4 linked regions of the Arabidopsis thaliana genome follow. The protein of the gene in region 1 interacts with the protein of each later gene in a pairwise test. Each region holds a gene or a part of one and is shown in the gene's direction. Other genes may lie near its edges. The genes, in order: IAA19, HB21, ARF18 and SPT.

Region 1 (7,321 bases):
TGCTATAGATTTATTTACAACTTCACATGTATCATGGTTTTCTGAACGGCAAAATGTTTTACTAGGAGAAAAATAATGTTTAATATATCCGCAGAAACGGGCCATATGTCGGAAGATTGGGTTAGAAGCTACCGAATCGAAAGCCCAACAAGATATCGAACCAAACCCTATAGTTTTACTTTGGCATACTTTAAACAGATTTTCTGTATCTGACGCCGTTCATTTGTTTTACTTTCTCCTTAACATCCGACGACTATTCTTATGATAAAGAAATAATATCCAAGTTAAATAAATATTTACTCGACTAATGCGTCCGCTAAACACTCGTGCTTTCCTTTTATAGCTTGTTGCCTATTTGTCGGACAATGTTTTATAATTGTTAAAAAGTTTATTGAACATTTTAAAATTGTATATTTTGGAGTCGAGAAGAATCAAAAGTTATTACTAATATTTATTAATGAAAATGACTAACACAATTTAAAAACGGAAAAGTTATTCGCAATCTAAACGTTACATAAACTATAAACTAAAACGTTACAGAACCTATGAAATAGCATACGGCTTAGGGCTCACTAGTTATTGAGAGTTCTAAATTTTGACTTAACTAAAAGTCCTTATGAATCAATATTTTTCATTAACAGTAACCATTTCAGTATTTCTACATAGGAGAGCCTTCTTTTTCTGTCATCACTTATTACTGTTGCCTGAAACTATTCCGGTAAAGATTGGTTTTTAATTTCCCTTCATGCTTAACCAGATATTCACCTGATTCTCCCAGTACACATGTAATTTATGTGCTTTACATAAAACTTAAAAAAATACTGACAATAATTAAAATATTCGTTTGCAGTTTCATAATTTAGTTTATGCTGCTTATGGACGTGGGAACATGCTTGTAGTTTAACTTTTATTTGGTCGTCAATTTGATTAAAAATTATACCTTCATTGATTCTTTTTGAAAGATACGTATTGTGAATAATGTATAAAGGATTTAGAACATAATTATGATCCTTGAGACTTGTAATATTTTATTAACTAACCGAAAACATAAGCAAGAGAATCGTGGATAACGACCTAACGTATAAGAAACATGAGACATGTCACAATCACTTTAAAAGTTTTCCTATCAAAACTCGAGTAGAAGCACATGAAATTTCTGGATATTAAAAATAAATAAATCAAAATAGCCTTATATTATTGCTGTCAGGAAATAATTCTATTTAGACTACCTGAATTTCCAGTTGAACGGCGTTTTTCCAAATTGCAAGCATCATATATTATGCTCATCGTATCATTAGTGCATAAATAAACTATGGACCAATTTCATGGTGAAAAAGGGGCTTCGGATGAAATTTTTGATCAAATTATATTTGTTTATTGATAAAACAAACGTTTTTTTTAAAGGATGACAGTTGTGCGTTTGAGATGAAAACCAAACACTGCTCCCACTCAAAATTTGTAAAAATGGAATTTATAAATATTTGGTGCTACAAATGTCGTTTGGTAGCCTTTGGAAACATTAAAGGTAAACTAGAGATATGGGAGTATGGAACTTAATCTCTTTATGTGGTTGTATTTCATATAATTTCACGTGGCCCAACTTGTTTCTGTCAATCCATTGATCAAAGTTGGTAGACAAGAGTGAACCCACACACACTCACACACATACACACGGTCGATCTTTTTTTCTATTCTCGTGTCCCTACGTCCTCTAAACCCCATCATTATACTTCTTGTGTTTTATTGGTATGCTGAGCTAGAGATAGTTAACAACTACCCAACAATGCGGGTCTGGCTTAGTTTGAACCTATTCGAAACTAGTTATACTCCGCTTGAAGTCATTGGTTCGAGACTAACTTTGGAGATGAGTATCATAAACAGCTCTAACTTAAGATTACAATACATCCTCTTGTTAGTCTAAGTTGAGAGGTGTTGCCATTGACTATATATTTCTTTGGGAATTTGGTTTACCAGGATGTTGCAAAGAAGATTTAAATAGTTATAAATTAGTACAAATTCAATCCATATGATATGATATTCAAAAAACAAAAAAAAAAAAAAACTGATCTAAAAGTCGAACCAAATTCTAATTTGATTAGAGCATGTATATAATTGAATCCCTAAGTAAAATTCAACCCAATACTTGAGAAGGTAGTTATATTCTTATAAATTATGGATATGATTTGATTAAAACTCAAACCTGAACCCAAAACATACTAGAATATACGTTTTTACTTTGTAACTATTTGTCACATTCCAAAACTAAACTCGGTACTATATTTGATTCTGATCCATACAAATTTTGTATATCTGGTTTATATTCTCCATGTGAGATTAAAGCGGTGACCAATCAAAATCATTGCTGGAATATCTTACTATTAAGCTAAATGTTGTTAGTTATATACAAGCCAATCCAAAAAAACTGATGCAAAGAGAGATAAACGAACATATCCCAAAATGGTAGGATTTGATTTAATATTCCCATCCTCTTATTAGAAATGCAAACAAATAGACTATAGTTTTATTTATTTATTTTCACTATAAAATAACTAAATAACATGAACTTATTGAAGAAAAAGTATACTATAGTTGTGATTCTGTGATATACTAGTTAGAACAAGAATCTTTACAAAAAAAAAACACATGGGATGTTAGGAGAAGGAGATTCGGATTCCAATGATCCAACGGTCAGAGAAAAATCAGAAGAAAATTTCACAACCGTAGGATCTGTTCCCTTAACCACCTTGTAATGCCGGTCTTTATTAATTTTGAGAAAAAAATAAAAACAGCACCAAACTTATGTCTCTCATGTGACCGACCACCGCATCCTCAGTTGACCTGTCTCTGCCCCCACTTTGTCTCCCCACACAAACTGAATAACAAGAAGAAGAAGACTTTAGATATCAAATGACTCCACGTGTCGATATTGGATTGGTTTTCATTGGTTGTATCGTGTGGACCAACGAAGCAACATATAAAAAGCACGACGCGGTGCCATTACTACAATAAGAGAAGTGTAGGAGAAGAAAGTTCTCATTTCATAATTGTATCAAATTGTGAGAGGAAAAAAAGAAGTTCAAGAAATGGAGAAGGAAGGACTCGGGCTTGAGATAACGGAGCTGAGATTGGGGCTTCCGGGGAGAGATGTGGCAGAGAAGATGATGAAGAAGAGAGCTTTCACGGAGATGAATATGACGTCGTCGGGTAGTAATAGTGATCAATGTGAAAGCGGCGTCGTTTCATCTGGTGGTGACGCTGAGAAGGTTAATGATTCGCCGGCGGCGAAAAGCCAGGTGGTGGGGTGGCCACCGGTTTGTTCTTACCGGAAGAAAAACAGCTGTAAGGAAGCTTCGACCACGAAAGTGGGGTTAGGGTATGTGAAAGTGAGCATGGATGGTGTGCCTTATTTGAGGAAGATGGATCTTGGTTCGAGCCAAGGCTATGATGATCTAGCCTTTGCTCTTGATAAGCTCTTCGGTTTCCGTGGCATCGGTTAGTAACAATTATGTTCTCTTCCCATAAAAGTAGAGTGGTAATTAGATCATGTGGAAAACAACTAATTATATATAGTTTACAAGACGTCCGATTAAGAACTTAGAGTGTTGTAGTCTTGTAGACGTAATGGAGTAGTATAGTTTAGTGCTGTTCTTTCTTTTTATGTCTACAACCAAACCAACACCCCAATTTATGATACAATGACAACACTAATACAAATATAGTTAGAATTTTGGTTAGCAGTTGAACTGATTGTGGTAGCAATGTTATAGATTTTAATTTAAAGTGTTATGAAAGGACAAATATGTCGAGATTTTTATTAGTCATCTCAGGAAATTTATTTACTTGTTCTTAGAGACTTAAGACTAGTCCTAATTTAACTGGTTATTTTTCTCCAAACTGTTTTGAATTATCTGAAAATTATCTATCATAGAAAATTAGAGGTTTCGGTTACTACATATCCGTAATTTCTAAAAATCAGAATTTATGCACCACTTGTATAGTTGTATTGTTAATTAGACTTTTCTATATACCGAATTCGCCATATTATCAACACAATTTTAAATTTACATATATACATATTTGTGCAGGTGTGGCCTTGAAAGATGGTGACAACTGCGAATACGTTACCATATACGAAGACAAAGATGGAGACTGGATGCTCGCCGGTGATGTACCTTGGGGGTATGTTCTATCTTTTGACTTAAGATATCTCACTACAAAAAGAAAATGTATCACAAACTAAAGTAAATGAGTTTGGATATTTTGATTTGCAGGATGTTTCTAGAGTCATGCAAGAGGTTGAGAATAATGAAAAGATCGGATGCTACCGGGTTTGGGCTGCAGCCTAGAGGAGTAGACGAGTGATGATGACTTGAACAAGAAGCAAGGAGCTGGTTCATTAATTTAATCTTAAACTTGATCATCAAGATCCTTTAGAACATTTTTCCTATTCATGTTATATAAATATATATGTTATAGTATATTATTTTGCAACAAAATTTCATGTTATGGTTTTGCATAATTATCTTCAGAAAGACAGCTATATATATATACACTACTTGTTTCTTGAGTGTTGAGTTAAAACATTAATCTGTTTCAAAATTTATTGTTATTTCGGATCTATATATGTGTGTAGAAACATATGTAATAAGTATCCATTATTTCATCTTTTTAAAAAATAATAATTATTATTTGAATCTTTCATTGTTGATATGTTATGTATACCTGTGTTTTGGAAAAAATATGGATATTATAAGCAAATCTAAATAGATATTTATAAAAAAAGTCTACGTAAAACATTCGTTAGTTTTTACTTCTACTTCAGTAAGTGACATCACAAATCTAAATAGATGTTTTCATAAGTATATAAGTGTAAGATAAAAACAAAGAATTCATTCTTCCTTTTTTTTCTCTTAGAGTTATGCTTGTATAATTTATTAGTACTATAAGATTTTTACTAGTAAGTTTTTATTCCAAATATTCGTATACCTCCGAAGAAATTAGTTAATTCATAATCGTAATTTCACATTCAAAGTTAAGATTGCTTAATTTAAAGATTTAAGCTTATTCTTCATTTTTTTTTTTTTTTTTGTAATGATTCTTTTTATAGATATGCACATCTTGCTTTTGATAGCATAAGTACTATCAATTATAGAAAACACCGACATGTTCGGTATGTCAACCTAGTTTTTGTTTTTCTATATTGTTGTTCTGTACAATAAAATTAGTACTTGGATTTACAAAAATTAACATATGTGATTATGAAACGAACCCATATGATTTGTTACAACTGTGACCTACCCATGTGCGTTCCAAACCAGAAACAGCAAAGATTCAGCCCATCCCCTCTCACTTGTGCTTTTTTCTTGGCCCAAATTAACGATACCATCATCATTATCAACCACACTAAATAAGTCTATTTTTGATTACATACTCTATACTCACTATACGTACTTTTGGATTCGTTCAAGCCTTCAAGGCTTTTCACATATTCAAAGGTCTTTGTATTAAACTTTGGTCAACATTACTATCTAAAATATTTCCGTTATTTTGAAAACCACAAACATGCGTTTATGTTTTAAACTTTTAATGCATAGGAATGTCAACACGTTATCTAAGTCATTTTTGACTGTAGGTTTCCGACGCTGGTAAAGCCGTGCTACTCAGGCCCGACCCAAATGGTGAGACAGAGAGACCATAGCCCATGAATCCAAAACTATTACAGAAAACAAGAAGGAAATAGGCTCAGATGTTTTCAAAGAATAATAGAAATAACCCAAAATATATTTTTAAAAAGGCCCAAAACAATTTAAACACATTTTTAGGGGCCCAAACTTTTTCCAAGCATAAGTTTATATTAAAAAAAGTCTTTCTGTTTTTAATATTCTCTATTAACAACAACAAAAGTTAAGAAAAATACCCAAGAAATTCGTAATCACTAGACCTTTTGATTCACATTTTAAAAATTCAAAAAGGATCCGTAGGTAATCAAAGTTTTTTTGTCACAAGAAAGATGATCATAGAGCCACCAAACTAACTTACTCCATAAATGAAGAGCGTGGGTCCGACGTGGCATATAGCCGTTACAGTCCCACATGGCCGTTTCAATGCTTACGTGGCACTCCTTTTTAAATTTTTCTTCTCCCAGTAGCTGTTATTATTATTTAAATTATTAAAAAGGGAATGAATGGTCATCGTTAAACTCAACTAAAATCCGACCGTTGTTTGAGTTTTATCTTCTTCTCTTGTCTGAAAACAGAACACTCCCAAAAGCTTATTTTTGCTTTCTCTTTGGTTAAAACACAATAATCTAGAGAGATAGTTGATCTTCGTGACTATGATGGGCGATTATGGTATAACGGAGGAAGATCTGGTGATCGAGGAAGCTCAAGGCTATCCTAGAGCTTACACTAAGATCTGTCGCGATTTTGATGCTTTTCCTTACAAAAATGGTCCTCCTTTCACTTTCATGCCCTACATTCTTCAGCAGAACGAGGTAATTTGATCCATTCATGTTTTAGCCAGACCTAGATTGAGTTTAGAATTAGAGTTTTTTTTTTTTTGGAATAACTGGTAGCTTCTCTGTAATGACAAAAGTTATCTTTTTTGTTTGTTTGTCTTGTAGAGCTTGAGATGCAGAGAAGTAGATCAGATGTTTCCAGTGATTGATCCGAAAGCGAGACCAACAACAAAACCCAAGATCTTCCTCAGTCTCTTGTGGAAACAGCTTAATCATCTAGGGTAAGTGCTTAATCTCTTCACAGTACTTAACACACTAGTAGTCAATTTTCAGATTCTTATGATTATGATTATGTTTGCAGAAATGCAGGATTTGATCCAGCTGTTATTCGGATTGATCCATATGGGAATGTTGTTTACTTCCACGCTGATTCAGCTTCTCCTCTTGCTTGGAGTTTTGATCATTGGTTCCCTTGCTCAAGTACACACACTTCTCCCTTGCTTTTAGATTTTGAGTTGCTTTGTTGTCTTATTTATTGATTACAGCTTTTTCTGTATCTAAATTGTTTTTTGTAGGAGGAGGTTTAACAGTACCAAGCAACCTAAGGATAGTGCAATGGCAAGCACGCAAGAACAAGAAGGACAAGCTTGAGTTCTTAGTACCATGGTGGGATCTTCAAGTTGGTATTTCTGTGAATCAGTTCTTATCGATTTTCGCTGCTTCTAGTTCTGATTTCAGGTATAGATAACAACCTTTGGATCTATACCACTATGTATCTATTTCCTTGATGACAAACATCTAATGAAATGCAAATTTTATAGGAGGAGGGCATTTTCATTCTTGTTCAAAGAAGGCGAAAACGAA
Region 2 (7,362 bases), on another chromosome or scaffold:
ATTAAGTCGAAAATGTAAAGCAATAAAAAAAATCTATTTACCAAGACTTACTATATATACTTTTAGGCCAAAATTTACAATTCTGCCACCCAAGAGCAATTGTTCATATATCATCTATAACATAGAGTCTAATTTTACAACACTGATAGCCCGCAATATAAACCAAAAACTTTATATTATCAAAACTTAATAATAATCGAGATTTTGGTCTTAACAAAACTCGTAACAAACTTTGGTTTATGAATATATTTCAGTAACTATATTATCAGTTGATTATGATATTTTTATTTTATTGTTTATCTTTTGATTCTTTCTCACAATTGTATGTTCCAGAAAACGGATGATCATGGTATATAAGTGCACATATTTGGTAGGACCAATAATTAATAGTAACTTCAAGTAAATCATATAAATTCACAAGCATGACATGACAACCTCTTGAAGCTAATATCATACGTGACATAATTAATGGCGAAGGCCGAAGGGTAAAGGAACAATATGTGTTTTTAATTAACTAGCTTAACAAGTTAAGGCTTTATAGTAATGTTTAGAACATTCTTTCGTTTTGAATTAGTATCAATCTCACACTTTTAAATTTTAAGATGGTAAAAAATATTATTATTATACCTTACTACCAAATTTTTAGTTATTTAATGTTTTGGAACAAAGATGAGATATTGTTATTTATTATGACTTTCTCTTTGTTATCTACTTCAATACTCTTCCCACTAATTATCTGACACGTTTCTACACTGTTGTAAATTTGATGTCTGATAGTGCAAGACAAGCAATCTCCCATAATCCTAATTCTTGGCTCTCTTCTTTTTTTTCTTTCCCTTTACTGATAATTTGTTTTGGGTGAATATGAAAATCTTAGAGCATCCACATTACTCATACCTTTGTAGATATCTCAAAAATAAATTAAAATTAAATTAAAGACAGCTTCTATTTTAGAGATCTAAAATGTCTTTCTAAAGACACTATTACACAATTAAAAACATTAAATTATCTTTTTCTATTATTTTTAATTTAAAGACACCCTCAAAGTATCACCAATGAAGAATGAGGATGGTCTTATATTCAATATAACCTTCAATTCATCAATGACTGCGATATATCAATATTATAAAATGACATTTCATGAGTAAAAATGTATATAAAAATGAATAACTACTTATCTTATAAAGTCTAATTTAGTGATTGTTGTTGTTTCTTCAAATTTTAAATTAAATGATGTAGCTTTTTTTGTTTCAAATAATTTAGCTACACTTTTTCTTTTCCATATTTTGATCACAATTGTATTGTTTTTGTCTATATATTATCACCCAAATTTTAATTTGGTAGAGACATTATTGAATAAAATATCCTATATATGAATTAATAAAATGAAAACTAGGTGTAATTAATTAATGATCTTTTTTCTCTTTGTCTGTAGAAAAGTGAGGAAATAATTAGCTATGGCTATGGCTCTCATGTGTCTTTCTCATGCTTTATTGGCTTTCACTACTAATACTCTAAGCCCTTAGTTTAAGAAGTGCCTTCACATCCAAAACCCACCTGCAATTCTCTCTTTCTCTCTCTCTCTCTCTCTCTCTTTATCTTCTTTCTTCAAAGTCTATCACTTTATAAAACCCTAATTAAATCTCTAAACTCCTTAGCCTCTCTCTATTCTCAGAACCTTGTGGTTATTCTCAAGAAAGGTTTCATTTTGAGATAAAGTTTGCTGCTCTTTCTGGTTGTGGGTATGTGCTCTTAACTTCTTCAGTCAATTTTTTCATTTGGTTTAAATAGAACAATTTTGTTTTGGTGATACAATAAAGATTGTCTTCTTGATTATCATCAACCTCTCACTTGGAATAAGACCTTTCTTTCTCAAGTGGGTTTGTCAGCTTTTGCTTAAGCAGGCTTGCAATAAGTTTTTCTTTTCTTTTGTACTTTTTCGTTTTGTTCTCTATCTTTATGGACCTTCTAAAATTAGGGTTTTTCTTTTTGTTTGGAGGAAATAATTAAAAAAATGGGGTTAATGAGTAGTGAAGAAAGCTCTTGCCTTTTTGTAGCTTAATCATTTGAATTTTACTCATTAATTATCTTTACTCTTGTTTTTTTCTTCCTAACTAGTTTCTTTGTCCCCAAACCAAGAAACACTTTGCAAAACCCAAAAAAAGTTTTAAATATAAAATCGTGTTTATTTCCTTGGCAGATAGATCAAAAGAATGGAGATTGCAAGTCAAGAAGATCCTATTCCAATAAACACTAGTTATGGTAATAGTGGAGGTGGGCATGGGAACATGAACCATCATCATCATGCCAATTCTGCACCATCATCTCTCAACATTACTACTTCAAACCCACTACTAGTCTCCTCAAATAGTAATGGTCTTGGTAAAAATCATGATCATTCTCATCATCATCATGTGGGTTACAACATCATGGTTACCAACATCAAGAAAGAGAAGCCTGTGGTGATAAAGTACAAGGAATGCCTAAAGAACCATGCAGCTACCATGGGAGGCAATGCCATTGATGGTTGTGGAGAGTTTATGCCAAGTGGTGAAGAAGGTTCCATTGAAGCTCTCACTTGCTCAGTTTGCAACTGCCATAGAAACTTTCATAGAAGAGAAACCGAAGGTGAAGAGAAAACATTCTTTTCCCCTTACCTCAACCACCACCAACCACCTCCGCAGCAGAGAAAACTCATGTTCCACCACAAGATGATCAAATCACCATTACCACAACAAATGATAATGCCTATTGGCGTTACAACCGCTGGATCCAACTCAGAGTCAGAGGATCTTATGGAGGAAGAAGGCGGAGGAAGCTTGACATTCCGGCAGCCACCACCACCACCATCACCGTATAGTTACGGACATAATCAGAAGAAAAGGTTTAGGACAAAGTTTACACAAGAGCAAAAGGAGAAGATGATTAGTTTTGCGGAAAGAGTTGGTTGGAAGATTCAGAGACAAGAGGAATCTGTTGTTCAACAGCTTTGTCAAGAGATTGGAATTAGGAGAAGAGTTCTTAAAGTTTGGATGCACAACAACAAACAAAATCTCTCCAAGAAGAGCAACAACGTTAGTAACAATGTCGACCTTTCTGCTGGTAATAACGACATTACTGAAAATCTTGCTTCTACTAATCCTTAGTTAAGTTCAGATTGTTGTTATATAACTTCACTCATGTGATTACTTAATTAATTAAGTACTTTCTTATCGTATGGTTAATGTTTTCTCCTTTCTCGGCTAATCATTGTTTAGGTAGCTTTATAAACATGTGTTTTATTAGGGTACCTATAATCTTGGTTTTGGAGCGTGTAAGATAAGTTTTTGATGTTTTCTTATAATGTATGTTTAAGAAAATTCTTGGCGATTTAACCAATGCATTGGGATGTGCACTGTTATTATTTACTTCGAATCATTAGACTTTGTAGTTCGTGATATCATTTGTCACGTTTACTATTTATGTGAGTAGCAGAATTTTAGATTCTCATAGGTAACTCTTTTTGTTTTTGTTTTTTGAATTCTGATATTTATTAAAGGAAGTGTATCATACAAAGTCCATAACAAAATTAATACTAGTTACCTAAATCTTACGCCGGTCTTGTTTTGATTTGTCTTGTTTCTTTTTTGTCGTTGTTTTGATTTAACAAAATATTTTTTTTTGATTTGTCTTGTTTTTTAAACATCCGGTCTTGCTTTGATTCTATTATTTTGTTTTCTAGTTTGAAAAAATATTTTCATTCTCATGATCGAAAAATAAATTGCACGGAAAACAAAGAGAGCAATAAATTACGATTTCTATCAATGGAGAGAGTTGGAGATTGTCCTGGCGAGTGTAAGTCAAGTCCTAATATGTATGACGTATTAGGTTGAGTAAATGTTTGGTTGGTGTACTAGTAAACTCATTTATGGACCTTTTCTTTTATTTGAACAATTATGTGCATTTACTTTATGTGACTTCTTGGCATATTGCAAGTCGTGTAATGTGATATGGGATAAAATATGTCATGCATCAAAATGGAGTTACGATTTTAAGATGTTGTTGTTCCTTGTGATATCACATGTTTCATTTATTGTAATATTAAATGTAACATTTTCACTTGTTGTTTTATAGTAGTATAATTTTTTATGCCTATAGTTTATCACTCGATTTCAGTAAAACATCAATAATGAATTGCGTATTGCGTATTTCGTGGAAGATAAAAATTCAATTAACTGACATAGTTTATTGATTGCCATTACTATTATTTTGTTATTGAAACGTCATTTTATTCAAATATATTTTTATCTCCTTCAAGATTGACATAGCATTATAGCACTATAACAATATAAAATATATATATATATATATATATATATATAAATTATCCAACTCTTTACATATGATCGATACATCATCACTTTAACATTTATCATGTGTCTATTAAATAATTAATGTAAACTTTTCAATTTTTAATTTATAAGTTAATGATAAATTTATTATTTAATTTTATATATGATTTTATTTTACATATTTACTGTACTATTACTAAATTTATTTAAATATTACATGATTTTTCAATAAATTTTTCAATAAATTTATTTAAATATTTTATTTTAATAGTTTTTTCATACTCGAAGATTTTTTTGTAATCCAAACTCAAAGTATGAGTGTATAATAGTCGTGAATTAGTTAATGATTTGAGTAGTTTATTTTTTAAATTGATATTTATATAATAAATCATCGAGGGTACATAATACGTACGGAGCTCCGATCCATCATCAAATTCTTATGTTTCTAATTACGAACACTACCCTCTGTTAAATTGGTTTAAGATGAACGTTGTTTATGAATGATGTGTATGATGCATTATTGAGAATGTTGTTAGAAAAAAAATATTTTAATACTGAAATAATTTTTTATTGCATGAGTGAATGATTAGATAAATAAAAATTATATTTAAATTAAACAATACAAAAGAATCCGAAAAAACTGCGACGTATCGAGAGTGATCACCTAATATATATTATAGTTAATAGAAAAACTTCCAGAAAATATAATAGAAATACAGTTGAACCAAACCGAACCGGGTTAGGTCCGTACGATGAAATCGGCCAGCAAAATCAAACAAAATTATGGAAATATATAACAATAATAATATAGAAAAATGTAAACTAGGAAAAAATGAAAATAGCAGAAATAATGGAAAGGAATAGCTAACGGGAAATTTTGACTCTTTTCATCACACTATATATATTGACACACACTCCTTTTTGTTATTGCTTCAAAAAGAAAAAAAAAGAATAATTGTAAGCTATGGGCTTCACAAGTTTGTACTCTCTCTATGGAAAATCCAAGGTTCTGAAATCAATTAGTTTTTCCGCTCTCAACAGTAAAACTCTCGCAATTGACGCTTCAATGTGGTTATACAGAGGTGCTTTAAATAATGCCCGGAAATTCTTGGAGGAACCAACTACACCCAACTCTGAACATATAATGTTTGTCATCAAAAAAGTCAAACAATTCATCGACCGTAATGTGAATCCTATTCTTGTTTTCGATGGACATCGTTTACCTATTAAGTCACCGCGGAACCCAATAAAAACTCTAGAATACGCAAAGGATCTTGACGCATCAGCACAACTTATGGCTCCCGATGACCCTAAGAGAAAGGACAAAGAGAAGAATGCTACTAAGATCTTTCAAAGTCATATACACATCACGCCTTATGTGATACATGTTTTCATTGAGGTAACATTTACGGTAAATAATTATTTTTAAGAATTTTCACTTCTTTCTAATTTTTTATTAACCTTTCTTTTTTCTCCCATTGAAGGTTTAAAAAAAAAAAGTATCCGAATATTGAGTTTATCGTTGCTGCTCACAGCTTGTATATTTGGCTAATAATAAAGATAAAAGCGTTTATGCGGTTCTCACTATTAACACTGACCTCATACCATTTAGATGTTGAAGAGTAAGTTCTTTAATACACTTATCAATTATTATTATTTTAAAGGTTTTTCTCATGTAGACATAACATTAATTTTTACTACCACTTTAAACTTTTGTGTGATCACAAATTATTTTCGCCAGTAAAGACTTTGAATTGCTTGAACTCGAAATGATAGACTTATTGAAGCGGTTTCATAGTAGCAAGAAAAATAAAGACAACGAAAAAGAAACTAAAGAAGAAGCAAAATCTTACGATTTTTCAGAATTCACAGACGATAATTTTCTGGAGATGTGCATTCTTTGCGATTGTGACTATTTTAAATGGCCATTAACGGAGGGATCCGAAAGAGCATATGAAATAATTGGTACTAAAACTATACGTGGTAGAGAGGTACTTTTTACTTGGTTTAGTTCAAAATAGTAGTATACTATACATTTAGATTTTGTATTTGCATGTATGATGACATGATGTGTGTTATTCATTTTCTTTCAGGTAATAGAGGAACTACTAGAGGACAGCACTGACCTAACTTCTCATCTGAAAAAATTCATAATTTTGTTGCTTTTCAAATATTAGTATGTCTATAATCAAGTAATTGAAGAGCTTCAACACTTGAATGTGCCTGAGGTGTCTAACCTTCCATTCTTGCGTGACCGTGAGTCTGGCGATGAATTTGTCATTCGAAAGTATGAAGATTCTACGGGCACATATTTGTCAACAACTAAGACTAAGGAAATAGCATAAGGAAGACTTAATCCTGAAACCCACGAAAAATTTACACACGTGGAAGTGGAAGAAACAGATGACGAAGAAACTACTTAGACAAAAGTATCTAATAATTTGAATTTCGAAGTTCTAGTTCAAAATAAAGGAAGTCTAATTTCGACAAAAAATCTCACATCTATACCATATTTTACGGTTTTAGTTTTTTTTAGTCGTTAGCAACAATGACAATCAGTTATATTTTGTTAACTTTATAATCGTTAGCGATGACTATCGACAATGAAATCATGTTTATTTGGTAGTCGTTGGGTCGGGAACATTTAACAAATGATTTTGATTCAATTTTTTTTTTTTCTTATAAACCTTATCGGCTGATCTGGTTAGCCCTAGTAAAAACACACCGAAATGTTTTCGAGTGGACTTCTTCCCGAAAAACCACCATACTGTCTGTCTGTCACGAGTTTGAAATGCTTTCTGACTAATGCCAGGGGGTAGTCAGGCGGCCGCCTACATTTCTAATTACCAAGTAAACCAATTAAACCAAGACCCAACTTATACACTTACCAACTTTCAAGGAGAATCGAACTCGGGTCTAAGAGTTTCATCCTTCCCAAAGCTTCCCCTACCACTAAACCACATATACTTGGCCTAGGTTGAAAACTTTCAGTGATACAATTTTTTACTTGCTAATCGTTCAAAAATATTGA
Region 3 (9,412 bases), about 18 Mb from region 1:
ATGTTACGTATATTGTATACTCGTTATAAGCAATTAGGCATAATGGAAGACAGGGACGAAATGTGGTGTACGGTCAAATAGTAAAATTGTACAAAATAAGTTTGGTTTGTGGAAAGTTTGAAAGTTCAATTATTGCAAGAGGTTGAAGGTAAATACGACAGTTGGAATCAAATGTTATTTGCTTGACTGGGTTATCAACCTAAGCAAGAAATTTGGTTCTTAAAACAATCTAAACATATTGGTTTGATTAGTACTTCTTAATCTTTCTGCAATGATAAGTAGTGTACTGTTGATAACCATAACCTTATAGTAGAAGATAGGACCATGTTGGTATTTTTCCACAACTTTTCCTTCTCTTTTTACAATTCATAACAAATGAATACTGTCGATTAGTTCAATATATAAATATAAGTAATACAAATATTCCTATATTCTTGTAAAATGACGTGGTGACTATGACTAAACAGGTGATTAAGTATATTATCAAATATATCAATGGAATATAACAGTGATTAAGAAGAATAAACAAAATTAAAAGATTTTGTGGAATGGATTCCACTAAACCACTACGCAATTTAAAAATAAAAATACTTAACTAATGTATAGTTATTTATTCCCATCCATGCGTTCATATTCACTTTGAATGATCATATTCGTAATCCTATTTATTTATTTTACTATTTGAACCTTTTGTGTGTATAAATAATTTCAACTAGAGAGAATATCCGCAGCAGCTCGTTAAATTAGTCATTGAATTAAAAAAAGATATTCAAATTTTCACCCAAGAAAAACGAACGCAACTAAAATGACGTTCAAATTTGGCATCATCTTTAGGTGTATATTATTGTGAGAGATATGCAAGCATGAAATCTCATGCAGGATAAGAATCATTGTTAAATTTATTTTAATTCCGTTATATTTATGGTAATATCATCCTATTACCTTTTCTAAAATTATGTTTCACTCTTTAGTTCAACCTTTGGTGATGAAATTCGATTCTTTCATATCTCGTCTCCGCTTTGCAAGGATTTGTCCGTACAATAATCATATGCACTATTTTAATTATTTTTTTGTTGGGTGGGATTCAAAAAAGTTTTTTTTACCCCTCTATCAGCTAGTTAGAGAAGTGAGACTATATATGATTCCAATCAATAATACATCACATCTATATTTCGTCTTGTAACGCGGCCACATAATCTTCATCAACGAAGCTTGAATGTTGTAATAGTGTTTCACTATCAACAACACACATTTGTAGGCCTTATGTAATTAGCGAGAGAACTCTACAGTCTACACTATAACTTTGAGTGGAAATAAATACTCGTATATGGTAACATAAAAATACTATGAACTTATGATTATACAAACTTGTAAGTAAAAAAGAGTGGTAAGGCTATGTAATATCGTCGACGTTTTCTAGGTAAATCTTAAGCTATAAAAAAGATTTTGAAACCCAAATAGTATCGAGTGATAGCATTAGTCTCATCGGGTGGTTACAAGCCAACATTGATTCGTGTTGCAAATTTTATTAAATACAAGGGTGTACACAAATCAAAACGCAATAATATTTTTGGATCATAGTCTTTCTTCACTATCATTGGGAAAAATAAAATAAAATAAGAAAAATAGCGATAGAATTTCCTCTGTAAATGAGCAAAATTGGTAGGACAAGTCAGCATTTGACACGTGTCGGTCATGAATACGACTAAACAGCGTGGCAATTTCTCTTACTCTGACGTGTCCATGTGGGGACCACTTTCTCCTCCGACACTTCGGCATGGCTTTCTCAACTTTTTATCACTCTTCTTCACCATTCTCATTTACTAAGCGCGTGTCTCCCACCTCTATCCGATTTAATTTTTTAAATTTGACGTTTCAAAAGTTCCTTCTATAAAAGCAATTAACGATAATTATATGAAATCCGTAAACATGAATTTTTCAAATAATTTCGATTTTTGATTTGCTAAGATTAAAAGCGCGTGAAAGAAAAAAAAGAATACAGCATGAACACCAGCGACTCAGAACTGACTCGGCACGTGGTAACATAAAACTCACACGCTTCCCAAGACGCTCGTCCCATAAAGAGTCATGGCTGTGACCTTGTGCGAGTGTGGGTGTAGCCATAGCCTTTGTGGGTCCTAAATAAAAAAAACGATCAATGGCATAATGTGTAATTAACTCACATTCCACAGTGTTAAATAAAAATTAAATCTGTAACGGAAAAAACAATCTATCTGATGTTACACAAAAAAAAAAAATAACGGAAAAAAGAAAATGTGGCCGGGGTTTAATAGAGAAGCCGACACGTTTGCCTGCCACGATCCAGACACAAGACGATGTGGGTAACGGCACCGTCAAGTGCTAACGGCAACGGGGTCATCAGTAAAAAGGGCAATTTAGGGATATAGAGTAAAGTCATAAGCTTATTTATTACTATCGTCTTGATCGGACGGCTGAGATTTGCCCTCTCCTTTAAATGCACCGTACGTTTTTTTTTTACATAATAAAATGTAATTAGTTCATAAGCAATTCCCAAAACGCCGCGTGACCCTTCGTTTGCCTTTGAATACAATTTGTTTTATTTTAGCGCATTTAATATATTTGAGTTTCCTTTTTAGCGATGACATGATAAAACAAAAAACAACAATTTTAGAAAACATTTAATTAAATGAATAGAAAAATAGGGAGATTCAACTGAAGTTACTGTGGGTGGAAATGACAGGTCTCCAGGATCTGAACTAAGAGAAAGTCTCTCTATATTTTGATATATAGAGAGAGATAAAGAAGGAGAGAGTGTGAATATATGTATGTGCATGATACTGTGAGACTTCTTCAGTAAAGGAAGCAGCTTTGGTTTGCTGCGGATCGGGATAAAAACGGCGAGAAGTTTGTGATTGTTGAAGCAAAACAACACGGAATCTGAAAGGAAAGGAGAAGACAAAAAAAAAAAAAGATTTTAAGAGGAAGAGAGAGAGAGATCGGTTTCGTGGCTGACGGAAAAAAAAAGGGGAGAGATTTAGTTTTATCCAACAGTGCCTGAATTACGTTCTGCAATCAATACGGACATAACCGTCCGTTGTGTCCTGTTTATAAAGTTTTGCTTTTTTTATTTTCTCCATTGATGGGTCTTTTCTTTCTTCTCTCTCTCGTGTTTCTTTCATGGGGTTAAGACTAGTGTTTACCGCGTGAAGGTTTTTTTTTCTTTCTATTTTCTTTCATTTCCTCTCCTTCTACTTCTTCTTCTCCAGTTCTCATCTGGGTTCTTCAATGGCGAGTGTTGAAGGTGATGATGATTTCGGAAGTTCTTCGTCAAGTGAGTAGTAAAAGGCTGAGACTTTAGAAAGTTTTGTTTTTTTTTTTGTTTCTAACAGTGACTCTGTTTGGGGTTTTACTCTGTAGAATCAAAATCAGCTTTGTAAAGTTTCGATTTTTTTTTCTTTCATTTTCTCGGGAGACGAGCTTAGAAAGAAATAGAAAAAACCCCAACTTTCTTATTTTTCTCGTATAGCTTCAAAGTTCACATTTTTGTTATAGTTTTGCCGCGGAAATGTGACTGTTAGGGTTTTGTTGTTGTTTGATTTTAGGGTCTTATCAAGATCAACTATACACAGAGCTATGGAAAGTTTGTGCAGGTCCATTAGTGGAAGTTCCTCGTGCTCAAGAGAGAGTTTTCTACTTCCCTCAGGGTCACATGGAACAAGTATATACCCACCCAAAAATCATCTCTTTTTACCCCAATTTTTCTTTTTCCATTCTCTTTCTAAATTCTGGGTTTTTTTGCAGCTTGTGGCGTCAACTAATCAAGGAATCAATTCAGAAGAAATACCTGTTTTTGATCTTCCTCCAAAGATACTTTGTCGAGTTCTTGATGTCACTTTAAAGGTAAAGTTGGATCATAAATGTTAAAATGTTTTATTTCCCCTGAATCTGTTAACTAAATTTTGATTTATAGGCGGAGCATGAAACAGATGAGGTTTACGCTCAGATCACATTACAACCAGAGGAAGATGTAAGTTCTTAAAAAAAAAACTCAACTTTATTTCAGTGAGTGTTAATTTATATTGATTGGAATTGATTTCAATTTACTGTTTTGTTTGCAGCAAAGTGAACCAACAAGTCTTGATCCACCTATTGTTGGACCAACTAAGCAAGAGTTTCATTCGTTTGTTAAGATTTTAACGGCTTCAGATACAAGCACTCATGGTGGATTCTCTGTTCTTCGTAAACACGCCACTGAATGCTTGCCTTCTTTGGTAAATATATTCTTAAAGAAACCTTCTCAATTCAAGAAACTTTAGCTTGAATTCTCACTCCAATTTTACACTTTTTAGGATATGACACAAGCTACTCCTACTCAAGAACTTGTGACTAGAGATCTTCATGGCTTTGAATGGAGGTTTAAGCATATATTCAGAGGTATTGATTCTAATCTTGGTGTGTTTTTGTGAAACTGTGTTTGGACTAAATGAGACATTGACTCATTGAGTGCCGTTTTTGGTTTAGGACAACCACGGAGGCATTTGCTTACTACGGGTTGGAGTACATTTGTATCCTCGAAAAGACTTGTAGCTGGAGATGCTTTTGTGTTCTTGAGGTACTTTTGAAATTGAAACTTTATTCACTGGTCTTGTTTAGTTTCATGAACCTAAATGTAATGCCTTTGTGTTTTTCAGGGGTGAGAATGGGGATTTACGGGTTGGAGTGAGACGATTAGCTCGGCATCAAAGCACAATGCCTACTTCGGTTATTTCAAGTCAGAGCATGCATTTGGGAGTTCTTGCTACAGCTTCTCATGCTGTGCGTACAACAACAATCTTTGTTGTCTTTTACAAGCCTAGGTATATAGTAATGTTCTTTAGATGATTTTGCTTTATATACATAGATGGTTTAGGACTCTTTGATTGAAGAAAAGTTTTCTCTCTTTGCAGGATAAGCCAATTCATAGTTGGGGTGAACAAGTATATGGAAGCTATAAAGCATGGATTTTCTCTCGGTACCCGATTCAGAATGAGGTTTGAAGGAGAAGAGTCTCCTGAGAGAATGTAAGAATCCATTTTCTCTGATCATTTCTTTTTTGTCAGTGTTCTTGATTCTGAAACCTGGAACGTCTTCAGATTTACTGGTACGATTGTGGGAAGTGGAGATCTATCTTCACAATGGCCAGCTTCTAAATGGAGGTCATTGCAGGTTCAGTTAACCATTCCACGTTCTTACATTTTAGTGTTTTACTTATTACGTGGTCTTTATATAACGTTTTTGTCTTGGTCTTTCTTAGGTACAATGGGATGAGCCAACAACAGTTCAGAGACCAGATAAAGTCTCACCATGGGAGATAGAGCCTTTCTTGGCAACTTCCCCAATTTCAACTCCTGCTCAACAACCACAATCGAAATGCAAGCGGTCAAGACCCATCGAGCCATCAGTTAAAACACCAGCCCCACCTAGTTTCTTGTACAGCCTCCCTCAGAGCCAAGATTCCATTAATGCATCCCTTAAACTGTTTCAAGATCCATCACTTGAGAGAATTTCAGGTGGATACTCCTCAAACAACAGCTTCAAACCCGAGACTCCTCCTCCTCCAACGAATTGTAGCTATAGGTTGTTTGGATTTGATCTCACAAGCAATTCTCCTGCTCCAATCCCTCAAGACAAGCAACCGATGGATACTTGTGGAGCTGCCAAGTGTCAAGAACCCATCACTCCAACCTCAATGAGTGAGCAGAAGAAGCAACAAACATCAAGAAGTCGAACTAAAGTAATTTTCTTTATCAACTCATATAATAACATAGCAACAATGTTTTGAAAATCTGATTTCTTTGATCTTGGATTGAAAAAGGTGCAAATGCAAGGCATTGCGGTTGGTCGTGCGGTTGATTTAACACTGTTGAAATCTTACGATGAACTGATTGATGAGCTTGAGGAGATGTTTGAGATTCAAGGACAGCTTCTTGCCCGAGACAAATGGATCGTTGTCTTCACTGATGATGAAGGAGATATGATGCTTGCTGGTGATGATCCGTGGAAGTAAGTTCTAAAATAACAGAGTTAAACATTTCCGGTTTAGCTCAAATCAGTTAAATGTGAACTTAAACCGGAACTGATTTTGCAATGTTCTGTTGTGTGGGATTGTGCAGTGAGTTTTGCAAGATGGCAAAGAAGATATTTATATATTCGAGCGATGAGGTTAAGAAAATGACAACGAAACTGAAGATTTCTTCGTCGTTAGAGAATGAGGAATATGGTAATGAATCATTCGAAAATCGTAGTAGGGGGTGAGAGTTTTAGCTGTTAATTAAGGTTAATTCGGCGACGTCGTTTTAGTGCGTAAGTGTCTAAAGACTTTTTTTTTAGTCTGTGTATATAAAGTCTTGTCCTCTTTTTCATGTCAATTTTTCAAGTTGGCGATTTAATATTTCGGTTTTGGGACAGTGGTTGATGGGGCGGTTTTACATCTTTTATGTGTATGTACTTGTTCCATAACCATTCAATTTTCAAAACCAAGTACATTCAATTAGTTATGGGTTCAAAGATTATATTTCTAATCAATAATTAAGGCTTAAAAAAAAAAAAACTACAGTATTAGAGAAGAATACAAAATACGTGAAGGCGTGGAAATCAACGCGGCGGGCATCATATGAAAGTCATGGAAAAGTAAAGGAGTCAAACGACTAGTTAAGATTCTCTTTTGGAGTTGGTAAAAATATTTGTGGATTAATGAACTTCTAGGATATAGTGTTATTAGAAAATTGAACTGAAATCGAAAAAAATGAAAACTAAACTTTGGAAGTTCATGTTATCGTGCCAAAAATAAGTCTCCATGATGTTCTCTATAAAAATTCTTAAGTTTTAATTTCCAAACCTTTTAGCTGCATCAGATTTTTCTTTAATAAAATGCAAATGACAAAAGAAAGAAAATCTATTTTGTTTTCGGATAAAGTCACATATGAAGTGTATACTGTAGTTGATATTTGTCAAAAAAAAAAATATTGTTTTAAACTTTTAATTCAGATTTGCCTTATAATGAAGAAGAAAACAATACAATTATTTTCAAACTTAGTATTGGTTTGGTGGTGGTTATGTACTTATGTAGTATGGAGCAACTGTTTTTTTTTTGCTAAAGATTAATTGTTTTTGGTATGGAGAAATTGTTTTACTTTGACAAAAACCAAAAAAGCCTCAAGCTAACTAAACTGAATAGATTTTGGAGCTGTAGTATAGAAAAAAAAAAAAAACATTTTTCTGTTTGGATAAAAGATTTGTAAAAACATTTCTACCTTTATAAATGATATAAAGTTTCAGTCCGAACAAATCATACAAAACGAACATCCATAGGACCATCATACTCAAAGTATGAGCTACAAATATCGTACTCCATTAATATAAAATCAAACAAAACTTAAATTTTCATACATATACTAAGAAATTAATAGGTGACAGAAAACAAAATTAAACACGATCGTAGTTTTAGTTGTAGTCGAATTAAATCTGACTAATTTTCCTCAACCAAAGAGTACGGGTTTGACTTTCAGTTCGAGGAATGGTTATAGTTAAACAGCGTTGCATCTTCAATGACAATTACATATATTTAATCCATTGTCTTCTTCTTCAAACGAATCATAATAAGCAGAAACAAGAAAGAGATATGGTTAAAACCCAAAAAAAGAACAAGAAAGATACAAGTTTTGACGCAGACGATAATGAGACGATGATAATCATCACATCGAAACTTCAACATGTATTAGCCGCGAAATCGAGAAGGCTACAATACTTATCATCACCGGTAACGACTAAAGACGTGTCATTGTCACTCATGTCGTCCCCTGATGATTCACTCTCTCGCGCTTCGATTCCTTTCTCATGGGAAGAAGAACCTGGCAAGCCTAAACACCATGTTCGTCATCCTTCTTACTCCAAGTGTCTTGATTTGCCACCGAGGATGCTCTTTCCTGACGAATTTACCAAAATGCCTCGGACAGCGAATCATGGTCGTTATCTCGCCGGGTGGAAACGGTGGTTCCGGTGGAAGAAAGAGAGAGATGGTGATGCTTATGTGGCCGGAAGTGGAAGTTATATTTATCCATCGGAAGATGAAGATGATACCAAGACCACAAGAACAAAAGGTCTCCATTGTTTCTCTTACGTCACTAGGTGTTACTTCTGGGTAAATTAACCTTAAACTTCATTCTATTTCTTTAAAAAAAAAATTCTCTTGTCTTGTCAGAAAGAACATGTTTGTATCTTCTTTTGTTTTGCACGAAGTTCCATGGAAGAACAAGAAGCTGAAAATGAAAGCTTCTGTGAGAGCTTTTTAAAAAAATAATACAAAACAATACGCCGTCGTTTACTTGTATGGACCATACTTACTCAATTATGGGCTTTTCTTAGTCTATATACTGGCCCAACACCTTAATAATTGTCAAATTATTTTATGATGCTCGAGCTGGATTCGAATGTATAGAAGATAGGATGTTGCGAAAAGGCAATGTGGGCCAGTAAAATGGACAAATAATGCATAAGATGTGATCTTCCATATGCGATAATCATTACATCAAATGGTCCTGCGAATTATTTTTTGTATAAAAAAAATTAAAAAAGTTTCGAATTCTGGTGGCTAAATTCGTTCATTTTGTATTTGAGTCAAGCAACTAACTAATATATACCGATGTTCTTAAGCCCAATAAATTTGATAGGCCATTTAGTATAAAAGGCCGGAGAATAAAGAACAGGTCGACTTGGTAGGTCGTTTAAGGCTAAATAAAACGCCACGCAAGGCGAATCTAGGAAATCAAAACGACACGAAATGTGGGGTGGGTGTTTGGGTAGGAAAGACAGTTGTCAACATCAGGGATTTGGATTGAATCAAAAAAAAAGTCCTTAGATTTCATAAAAGCTAATCACGCCTCAAAACTGGGGCCTATCTCTTCTTTTTTGTCGCTTCCTGTCGGTCCTTCTCTATTTCTTCTCCAACCCCTCATTTTTGAATATTTACATAACAAACCGTTTTACTTTCTTTGGTCAAAATTAGACCCAAAATTCTATATTAGTTTAAGATATGTGGTCTGTAATTTATTGTTGTATTGATATAAAAATTAGTTATAAGCGATTATATTTTTATGCTCAAGTAACTGGTGTTAGTTAACTAAATTCCACCACGATAATCTGATTACATAAAATATGATTTTAATCATTTTAGTAAACCATATCGCACGTTGGATGATTAATTTTAACGTTTTAATAACACGTGATTAAATTATTTTTAGAATGATTATTTACAAACGGAAAAGCTATATGTGACACAATAACTCGTGCAGTATTGTTAGTTTGAAAAGTGTATTTGGTTTCTTATATTTGGCCTCGATTTTCAGTTTATGTGCTTTTTACAAAGTTTTATTTTAGTTATCTGATTAACGCG
Region 4 (8,162 bases), on another chromosome or scaffold:
TTATTTATGTTTAACGTATTTTATGAGAATTTATTGCGAAATCATAGATCTCAGGATTGCAATTGCTAATCTATGGATGATAAGTCAAATCTAGGCTTATTCCCAAGAAATTGTGTCTGCGCTTTTGTGGATTTGTATAGTTTGATTTCATCACGTTATTGAAGAAAACAATTCAATAAAATGACAGGACTTATGGTAGACCGTGATAATTAAAGCGAAGTCTCAGCTTTTTCGTTTTTGTGAGAAGAAAACCTTAAAACCTTTTCAATTAATAAGAGAAAATGACTTGTCATCGTTTGAACAAAATGGGCCTATTAGTTAAGGCCCACTTTGTTTAAACATGTTAACCCTACACAATGTTATGAACGTAGTCTGTGAAAAGTATTTTAAGTTTACTATATCCATTTAAAAGCCCATTTGTAAAATCTTGTTTTCTCCTTGAATGTTCTGATAGTTGTTGGACCTAGCCCATAACAGCTTTGGACAGTTTTTAATGAAAATGTTACCAAATTAGATATTTACATTTTTAAACTTTGTGTGATTGATATTTTTTTCTTTCTGGTTTGCTTTATGAGTTCGTTATTCATATCTTTTAGTAGTAAGAAGATTCTTCTGACAAAACTAAAAATTCTTCCACTGTCTCAAGTACGCGTGTGACCAACGCGCATAGAACTTGAGCGTAGAACACAGAGAGTCAAAGTGATAGGATTGTTGTACTTCGCGAAAAGAAGAAGAAGATTTTTATAGAGTGCGTATCGAAACTAAAGTACAACAACAACTCAGCTTTATTTAGACCGTCCGATCATTACTAAACTTTGTACCAATCAACTAATGAATTAACGACACGTGTGTTTTATACTCTTCTTGGGAATACTCTAAAAGGACGATGTCACACCAGATCCTAGCACCTTCCCACCATCTTCTTCTCAATCTCTCGTGAGTTTCCCACCGTCAGATCAATGCTTAGGTTTGTGACGTAAGCTTCTTATTTTTTTGCGCATCTCTAGGCTCTCCTCTCTATCCACTTGCTTATCCAACCGTCCGATCTGTGATTTTTTTTTTTGTTGGAAAAAATATAACTACAATATCGTCTTTATGGTCCATTCTATATGTTCTTGATACATTAGCGTGTGCTCGAAATTTTCTTTCTATCGATCATAACAATATAACAACTCTCCAATCTGGTTATGTGTATAGCTTTTGTTTTTGATTTTTTTATATTACGATTTTGATATAAGAAGTAGATAGACCAAATGAAAACTTCATATCCATCGATTTGGCATGGTGATATCGGTTTCAGTTCTTTTGTATTGATTGTTTGTGAAGAAAATTGAATTTGACTCTATTAAACCTTTTTTTGTTTTTTTTTTGGTTTTGATTACCATTGGTTAAAGCAGAGATTCAACGTTAGACGGATTTATCTCGACACAACTCTAATTCAGTTTGACCGGACTGAACACTTTTATCAATATTAATGTTGAGTTGTTGACCTATATATTATTGTAATAATGAATAAACAACGCCATGATTGCGTACTATCTATCAGACTTTATAGAGTAACTACTTTGATTAACCATTACATTTTGTTTTTATGAGAATGTTTTCAGTTATATATCTTTATCAACACAGTTGAAACCTGTTCTTCTATGTTAAAGCCTTTGAATTTGAGTAATTTTACTTTTGATAGCTAGCCTTTTTAAAATGAATGATTATATTGTTAGGTTCCAAGTGGGGAGTTGTCTTGGGGATCTCATTTGACGTGTGATCTTGAATTTTTGATAGAGATCCTAATGATCTCGTGGTCCCTCTCGCAGAGTTTATGTAACCATCTAATATATAACTTCATGTCTGGATATGGAGAATCCAAAACTTAAGAAATGCACGTATTAGCATTCGTAGTTGTATATATGTTATGTATTTTGCGTCAAATGCAGAACAAAATAAAGCAAGAAGAGACCAACAATCTTCATATGGAGAATTGTAAATTGTCCAAATCAGCAATATATAGATGTCTTGAACAATAAAAAGATAACCGAGTTTAACATTAGACCAAAAAAAAAGAAAGATAACCGCTACAGAATTTGTGACGAAAAGAAAAAAGCTTTGGAGAAAAAAACAGAGTAAGAACTGTTTTTGTTGTGTGAGAAGAGTTTGTCCTTAGGTCGCATAATCTTTTAGGATGTAGTTATATGTGTTAAGTGTAACACATGCATATCATTTACTTCTGCAATATATCTCTTCTGGAGTTTCGTAAGGTACTTATGGTTGGTTTGTCTTCGAAACTACCAACGAACAACTTAAAAAACATTGATCTTTTTAATAGCGTGAGTTTGATTTATGTTATCCTTGTTATGGTGCATATGTATTACGGAAACTTTGGTCTGTTTTAGATGGGTAAATAGTTGTATATGAGTAAATATGATATTGCCAGTGTTTTATATAAAGAAAAAGGGAAACGATGATAAAAGGTGAAAAAGAAGTTTAGGATCATCTTTGTTTTTTATTTTGTTTTCCGACTTTCAAATCAGACAAGACAACGAGGTATGGGTCTTTTAACATACAGAGACTCAACTTGAAAATTCTATCAAACCACCAATTAAAAAACCAGAGAAAACATTCAACTATCTTCTTAGAATCTAGACAAAATAAAAAGTGTATCATGCTGATTTTGAACAAATTATTAAAGAGATCTCAACCATCGTTTCATTAATATCTTTGACAATTCTAGAAGCCGTAGTAAATCTTGTCTTTTTATGTGTATATCTTGTTGAATTTGATAAGGATATTCAAAATAATGAGATATGTATGTTGAGTAATTGAGTAAAATCAGATCCCTTGTTTAATTTGACGATTAAACGCTTTTTTCATTATTTTTTTTCGCATTTTGTTGTGTATGTTCTCAATTACAAATTCCACTATAAGCATTTGGACTCTACAATGTCACTTTCTAATTCTGATATTTAATAAAACAATTATTTTGTATATGTATAAATAGTACCAGAAAAACGAACTTAATAAAATAATTGAATCAAAAGCAGATGCTGAACAAATAGCTGCAGCTTTTAGCAATTGTCTCCCATATGCTTTTCCTTTGTTTCAAAAATTGTATATACGAGGTTAAGTGAATGTTGCAATGAAATAAATGATGCAGTTTGTGCATTCATCAAGCGAACAAGTACGATTGATGTTTTCAGTGCAAAAACTAAAATAAAATACTACTAACAACTATATAGTGTAAATATATATAACTTTAACTTCTTTTTTTTTAAGTCTTCATACGCTGCGAACGATCAAAATATATTTACAAATTTACGACCAATATTTTAAAAATACTTCATTAAAGAATTGATGCTGCTGTCTGCACAGTTGAGAACGCAATTGGAAACTTTCGTGCATTCACTTTGTTCGCCGCAAATTGGATATGTGAACGTGGTCATCATTATTTATAGAATTATTCTATAAAACTTACTATAAAACACTAGATATAAAGCTGGATCATATAAAATGAATTTACTAAAAATTCGATAGTTAATTATAGCAGATGTTATGTTCCAATTTGAAAGCATACGAACGAGGTATATAGTTGAAAACACACACCGTAAAGTTAATAATTTTCACAACACAAGAACAAATCAAAGTCGCAAGTAATTTAACGCATGTCAGTAGCATGGGCTTCTTATATACTAGTCAATAGAATAAACTAGCAAACAAGCAACTAATGTATTCTTGTTTATCACGCCACGGGTTACAATATCATACAAAATTTGAATACTAATTAATGGTAACAAGTAAAAAAACAAATTACTAGAAATGGAAATACTTTTGTCAAACAACCAAGACGTATAACTTTCGTTTTCTATAGATTAATGGACTTCTTAAAAATCTCTCCATCAGATTAAACTTTGAGATATACAAATACAGTTTTTGTTTTCTTCTAAATGATATGAATATTAACTTTATCGATTTCATCCGTAGCAGATTTCCATTTTAAATAATAAACTATGAGAAAACAGATAAAGGTTGTATATTATTTGTTACCCCAAAAAAAAAAAAAACTAACTACGAGTAGTAGTTTAGTGTGTCTCACGTGCGACGAGGAAAAGTTTTGGGAGAGTAAAAACATTTAATATTTACGACTAGTTTGAAAAACCGTGAGCTGACACAAGCTCATTGCTAATGCTACAGTAACAGCTACCTTCACTTTTAACTAAATGACAGACCAATCATTTTAACCTCTGTTTTCTTAGCTGGCGCGTGACAGACACTCTCCCTCTCTCCATGCCCATAAAATCTCAAAGACTGTTTAAAAAAAAAAATGTTTTAGCTTTAACTGCTTTTTTTTTGTTGTTGGTGTAATGATATCACAGAGAGAAGAAAGAGAAGAGAAGAAGCAGAGAGTGATGGGAGATAAGAAATTGATTTCATCTTCTTCTTCTTCCTCGGTTTACGATACTCGTATCAATCATCATCTTCATCATCCTCCGTCTTCTTCCGACGAAATCTCTCAGTTTCTCCGGCATATTTTCGACCGTTCTTCTCCTTTACCTTCTTACTACTCCCCGGCGACGACTACAACGACGGCGTCTTTGATTGGTGTGCACGGGAGCGGTGACCCACATGCAGATAACTCGAGAAGTCTCGTTTCTCATCATCCACCGTCAGATTCTGTGCTTATGTCGAAACGTGTCGGAGATTTCTCTGAGGTTTTAATCGGCGGAGGATCAGGCTCAGCCGCCGCGTGTTTTGGTTTCTCCGGTGGTGGTAATAATAACAACGTTCAAGGAAATAGCTCTGGGACTCGAGTATCGTCTTCTTCCGTTGGAGCTAGTGGCAACGAGACAGATGAGTATGACTGTGAAAGCGAGGTTTTTTCTCAATCTCTGTTTTTTATCTTTTGCATGTTTTAAAAGTTGATTCTTTGTCTCTTTCCCGAGAAAATGTTTCTACAGAGATTTCTCTTTAACGGATCTGTACTTTATTTTCCCCCTTAAAATCCGCAATTTTTTTGGTTGTGATTTTGAGTGAAGTTTTGTCATTTGTGAGTGTAATAATGAATGCACACCGAGTGTTTGATAATTTGCTTCAATGAAAATACAGGAAGGAGGAGAAGCTGTAGTTGATGAAGCTCCCTCTTCCAAGTCAGGTCCTTCTTCTCGTAGTTCATCTAAAAGATGCAGAGCTGCTGAAGTTCATAATCTCTCTGAGAAGGTTTGGTTTAGAGTCTCTCCCAAAAGTAGAAACTTTCTTATTTGAGATTTATGTTTATCTTTCTTGTAACAGAGGAGGAGAAGTAGAATTAATGAAAAAATGAAAGCTTTACAAAGTCTCATCCCTAATTCAAATAAGGTAATGATACTATATATAGAGAGACATCTACATGAATCATTCTATTTTCTGTAGATTCTTTTTGTGTCTGATTATTGCAATGTGTTTATTGGGGAAGACGGATAAGGCTTCAATGCTTGATGAAGCCATTGAGTATCTGAAACAGCTTCAGCTCCAAGTTCAGGTCACTAAAGATACCTTATGTTTATCATTATAACCAAAATCCTAAAACCAGTCTATATTCTGACATAAGTCTTTTTTTGTTCTGATATTTGCAGATGTTGACTATGAGAAATGGAATAAACTTGCATCCTTTGTGTTTACCTGGAACTACATTACACCCATTGCAACTCTCTCAGATTCGACCCCCTGAAGCAACCAATGATCCTCTGCTTAATCATACCAATCAGTTTGCTTCGACTTCTAATGCACCGGAAATGATCAATACTGTGGCTTCTTCATACGCTTTGGAACCTTCTATTCGCAGTCACTTTGGACCTTTCCCTCTCCTTACTTCACCCGTGGTGCGTAGTTGAATTACACATTTTTCATTCTATAACCATAAAGCTAGTTTGCTTACTAATTTTTTTTTGTTACTTAAGGAGATGAGTCGGGAAGGTGGGTTAACTCATCCAAGGTTGAACATTGGTCATTCCAACGCAAACATAACCGGTAAAGTCTTGTTGTTTTGGAATCCTAAGGAAGTTTTAGGACATTTACAATGTTAATAACGTTACGATATTTGGGGATTTGCAGGGGAACAAGCTCTGTTTGATGGACAACCTGACCTAAAAGATCGAATTACTTGAACAGTGTCCCAACTTCGGGATCTCTATGTGTTCTTGTTTCTTAGAACGCAAGCCATAAAGCTGTCTGACAATGGAGATGCATTTAACTGTCTTTATTTTTTCTAAGGTTCTATTTAAAATCAATTGTTGGTGACACGAATTCTAGAGTCTAATCTTTTGGATCTAATAGCTATATATAAAAAGGACTGAAATTTTATTACAAAGTAATTGACTAATTGTTAGATTGTTGTATGTTTATGGTGGATGTAAATTTTCTAGATCATCTTCGTATTGTATTTGAGAGTTTGATACTCGATGGCTTTGGATATGTAAATTACCCCGATAAGCTTCTAGAGAAGTTTTCGATTCTACAAGATGGATTTGGTATCTTTAAGGTTGACCATGTTCTTTTGGTATCTCTTGTTCTCAAATTGATCATTTACAATACAATTTTTTAAAATCTTTTACCCTTCACATTTTTGTACTTACATTTGGTATATTAGTAATTTCATTTGTAAGTGTCTTTTAAAAGTTTTTCATTTATAAGTGTTGTTTTAAGATCTTTTATGATAATTAAAAAATGCTTAAATATCTTATTAACCCTTAATTAGTATACTTATAGCTTTAGTTCTCCAATTAATCTTTAGTAAGTAAAAGGGACAGAGCTAGAACTTTATTTAAAATTGGATTGAAAATACATAAATCTTATATTTTTTTCAAAAACTAGTATTGAACATACAATTTATTTATTTTATTTTATTTGTAAAACAACAATAAAAGTAAAATCATACAACGATATATTTTGAAAAAAGGAAAAGTAATTAGGATTCTCTTTCGGTGAAAATATCAGAGAACAAAATATATTTGAATGCGACTGTAGTTGAAACTTGAAAAAAATTTAGATACTAAAGTTTCGTCATTCTCTTTTTGTTAAAGACTCAGTGACGACCCTCTCCTAAAAAACACTCATAAATAAACTCGCTGGAGACGCCGGAACCAAAAACAGAGTTCTAATGGAGAAGAAAGAAAATGGTCTCGATGGAAAGCAATCGGGTCGGGTCATTAACGGACCCACTAACCCGATGGTCACACCTCTGCTCAACGATCTTTACCAATTCACCATGGCTTATGCTTATTGGAAAGCTGGCAAACAATCTGAGCGATCTGTGTTAGTATTCTTCAAAATTTACAAAAAAGTTCGATCCTTTGAATCCACACTGTAAAATCTCATCTTTGTTTTCAGGTTTGATCTGTATTTTCGTAAGAATCCTTTTGGTGGAGAATACACTATCTTTGCTGGTTTAGAAGAATGCATCAAATTTCTCGCTAATTTCAATTTGACTGATGAAGAGATCGATTTCGTTCGTGATTCGTTACCTGGATGTGAGGTATAACACAATCTCTCTTGCCAAAAGATTCGATTTTTGGCATTGTTTTTTAACTCTTTTAAAAATCAGGAAGCTTTCTGTGATTATCTTCGAGGGCTTGATTGTTCTGACATTGAAGTGTATGCCATTTCGGAAGGATCAGTTGTTTTTCCTAAAGTTCCTTTACTCAGAATCGAAGGTCCTGTTGCTGTGAGTTCTTATTATCTATCTCTAACTCTCATAATTGGAATGATCAGTTTCTGATTCCTCTTGTGCTTCTTTACTTAGGTGGTGCAATTGTTGGAAACTCCATTCCTCAATCTCATCAATTACGCATCTTTGGTTGCTACAAATGCAGCAAGACATCGGTTTGTTGCAGGAAAATCTAAGCTTCTGCTTGAGTTTGGTGCTAGAAGAGCTCAGGTTTGTTTCCCTCTCAAAACCTGTTCTATGTTTAGCCTTAGATGTTGAGGTTTTGTTTGTTGCATCTCTGATATGCAATTGTTATAGGGACCCGATGGTGCAATAAGCGCATCAAAGTATTGCTACCTTGGAGGTTTTGATGCAACAAGGTATGTCTTTACTAGTGATATTTTTGTTTTGTTATGGAAACATCAAAAGGGAAGAGAGGATATGATTTTCTCATTTTGCTTGCTTTGTTTATTACTGCAGTAATGTTGCA

The links.
Region 2: the proteins of IAA19 (region 1) and HB21 interact in binary tests that used the Arabidopsis thaliana proteins (3 or more experiments, as listed by UniProt).
Region 3: the proteins of IAA19 (region 1) and ARF18 interact in binary tests that used the Arabidopsis thaliana proteins (3 or more experiments, as listed by UniProt).
Region 4: the proteins of IAA19 (region 1) and SPT interact in binary tests that used the Arabidopsis thaliana proteins (3 or more experiments, as listed by UniProt).

What each region holds. Positions count from the first base shown.
Region 1 is NC_003074.8:5,261,017-5,268,337, forward strand, and holds IAA19 (indole-3-acetic acid inducible 19), read left to right. Parts: upstream 1-2,984; 5' UTR 2,985-3,083; coding exon 3,084-3,492; intron 3,493-4,085; coding exon 4,086-4,179; intron 4,180-4,271; coding exon 4,272-4,362; 3' UTR 4,363-4,679; downstream 4,680-7,321. Other genes in the region: AT3G15548 (uncharacterized protein), read left to right, coding at 6,047-6,148; AT3G15550 (trichohyalin), read left to right, coding at 6,335-6,493, 6,623-6,738, 6,819-6,937, 7,033-7,195, 7,279-7,321. UniProt on the Arabidopsis thaliana protein: Aux/IAA proteins are short-lived transcriptional factors that function as repressors of early auxin response genes at low auxin concentrations.
Region 2 is NC_003071.7:682,089-689,450, forward strand, and holds HB21 (homeobox protein 21), read left to right. Parts: upstream 1-1,546; 5' UTR 1,547-1,742; intron 1,743-2,200; 5' UTR 2,201-2,213; coding exon 2,214-3,146; 3' UTR 3,147-3,408; downstream 3,409-7,362. Other genes in the region: AT2G02550 (PIN domain-like family protein), read left to right, coding at 5,296-5,730, 6,509-6,676. UniProt on the Arabidopsis thaliana protein: Putative transcription factor.
Region 3 is NC_003074.8:22,884,904-22,894,315, forward strand, and holds ARF18 (auxin response factor 18), read left to right. Parts: upstream 1-2,985; 5' UTR 2,986-3,267; coding exon 3,268-3,313; intron 3,314-3,364; exon of another isoform or gene 3,365-3,584; coding exon 3,585-3,700; intron 3,701-3,783; coding exon 3,784-3,882; intron 3,883-3,952; coding exon 3,953-4,009; intron 4,010-4,100; coding exon 4,101-4,253; intron 4,254-4,331; coding exon 4,332-4,416; intron 4,417-4,503; coding exon 4,504-4,594; intron 4,595-4,673; coding exon 4,674-4,838; intron 4,839-4,928; coding exon 4,929-5,042; intron 5,043-5,114; coding exon 5,115-5,187; intron 5,188-5,275; coding exon 5,276-5,755; intron 5,756-5,836; coding exon 5,837-6,024; intron 6,025-6,134; coding exon 6,135-6,276; 3' UTR 6,277-6,552; downstream 6,553-9,412. Other genes in the region: AT3G61826 (uncharacterized protein), read right to left, coding at 1,728-1,820; AT3G61829 (uncharacterized protein), read right to left, coding at 2,288-2,419; AT3G61840 (auxin response factor, putative (DUF688)), read left to right, coding at 7,643-8,170. UniProt on the Arabidopsis thaliana protein: Auxin response factors (ARFs) are transcriptional factors that bind specifically to the DNA sequence 5'-TGTCTC-3' found in the auxin-responsive promoter elements (AuxREs). Could act as transcriptional activator or repressor.
Region 4 is NC_003075.7:17,409,812-17,417,973, forward strand, and holds SPT (basic helix-loop-helix (bHLH) DNA-binding superfamily protein), read left to right. Parts: upstream 1-4,271; 5' UTR 4,272-4,355; coding exon 4,356-4,865; intron 4,866-5,097; coding exon 5,098-5,208; intron 5,209-5,280; coding exon 5,281-5,346; intron 5,347-5,443; coding exon 5,444-5,509; intron 5,510-5,603; coding exon 5,604-5,849; intron 5,850-5,927; coding exon 5,928-5,997; intron 5,998-6,081; coding exon 6,082-6,134; 3' UTR 6,135-6,575; downstream 6,576-8,162. Other genes in the region: NAPRT1 (nicotinate phosphoribosyltransferase 1), read left to right, coding at 7,127-7,281, 7,357-7,501, 7,571-7,690, 7,769-7,903, 7,991-8,052, 8,153-8,162. UniProt on the Arabidopsis thaliana protein: Transcription factor that plays a role in floral organogenesis. Promotes the growth of carpel margins and of pollen tract tissues derived from them.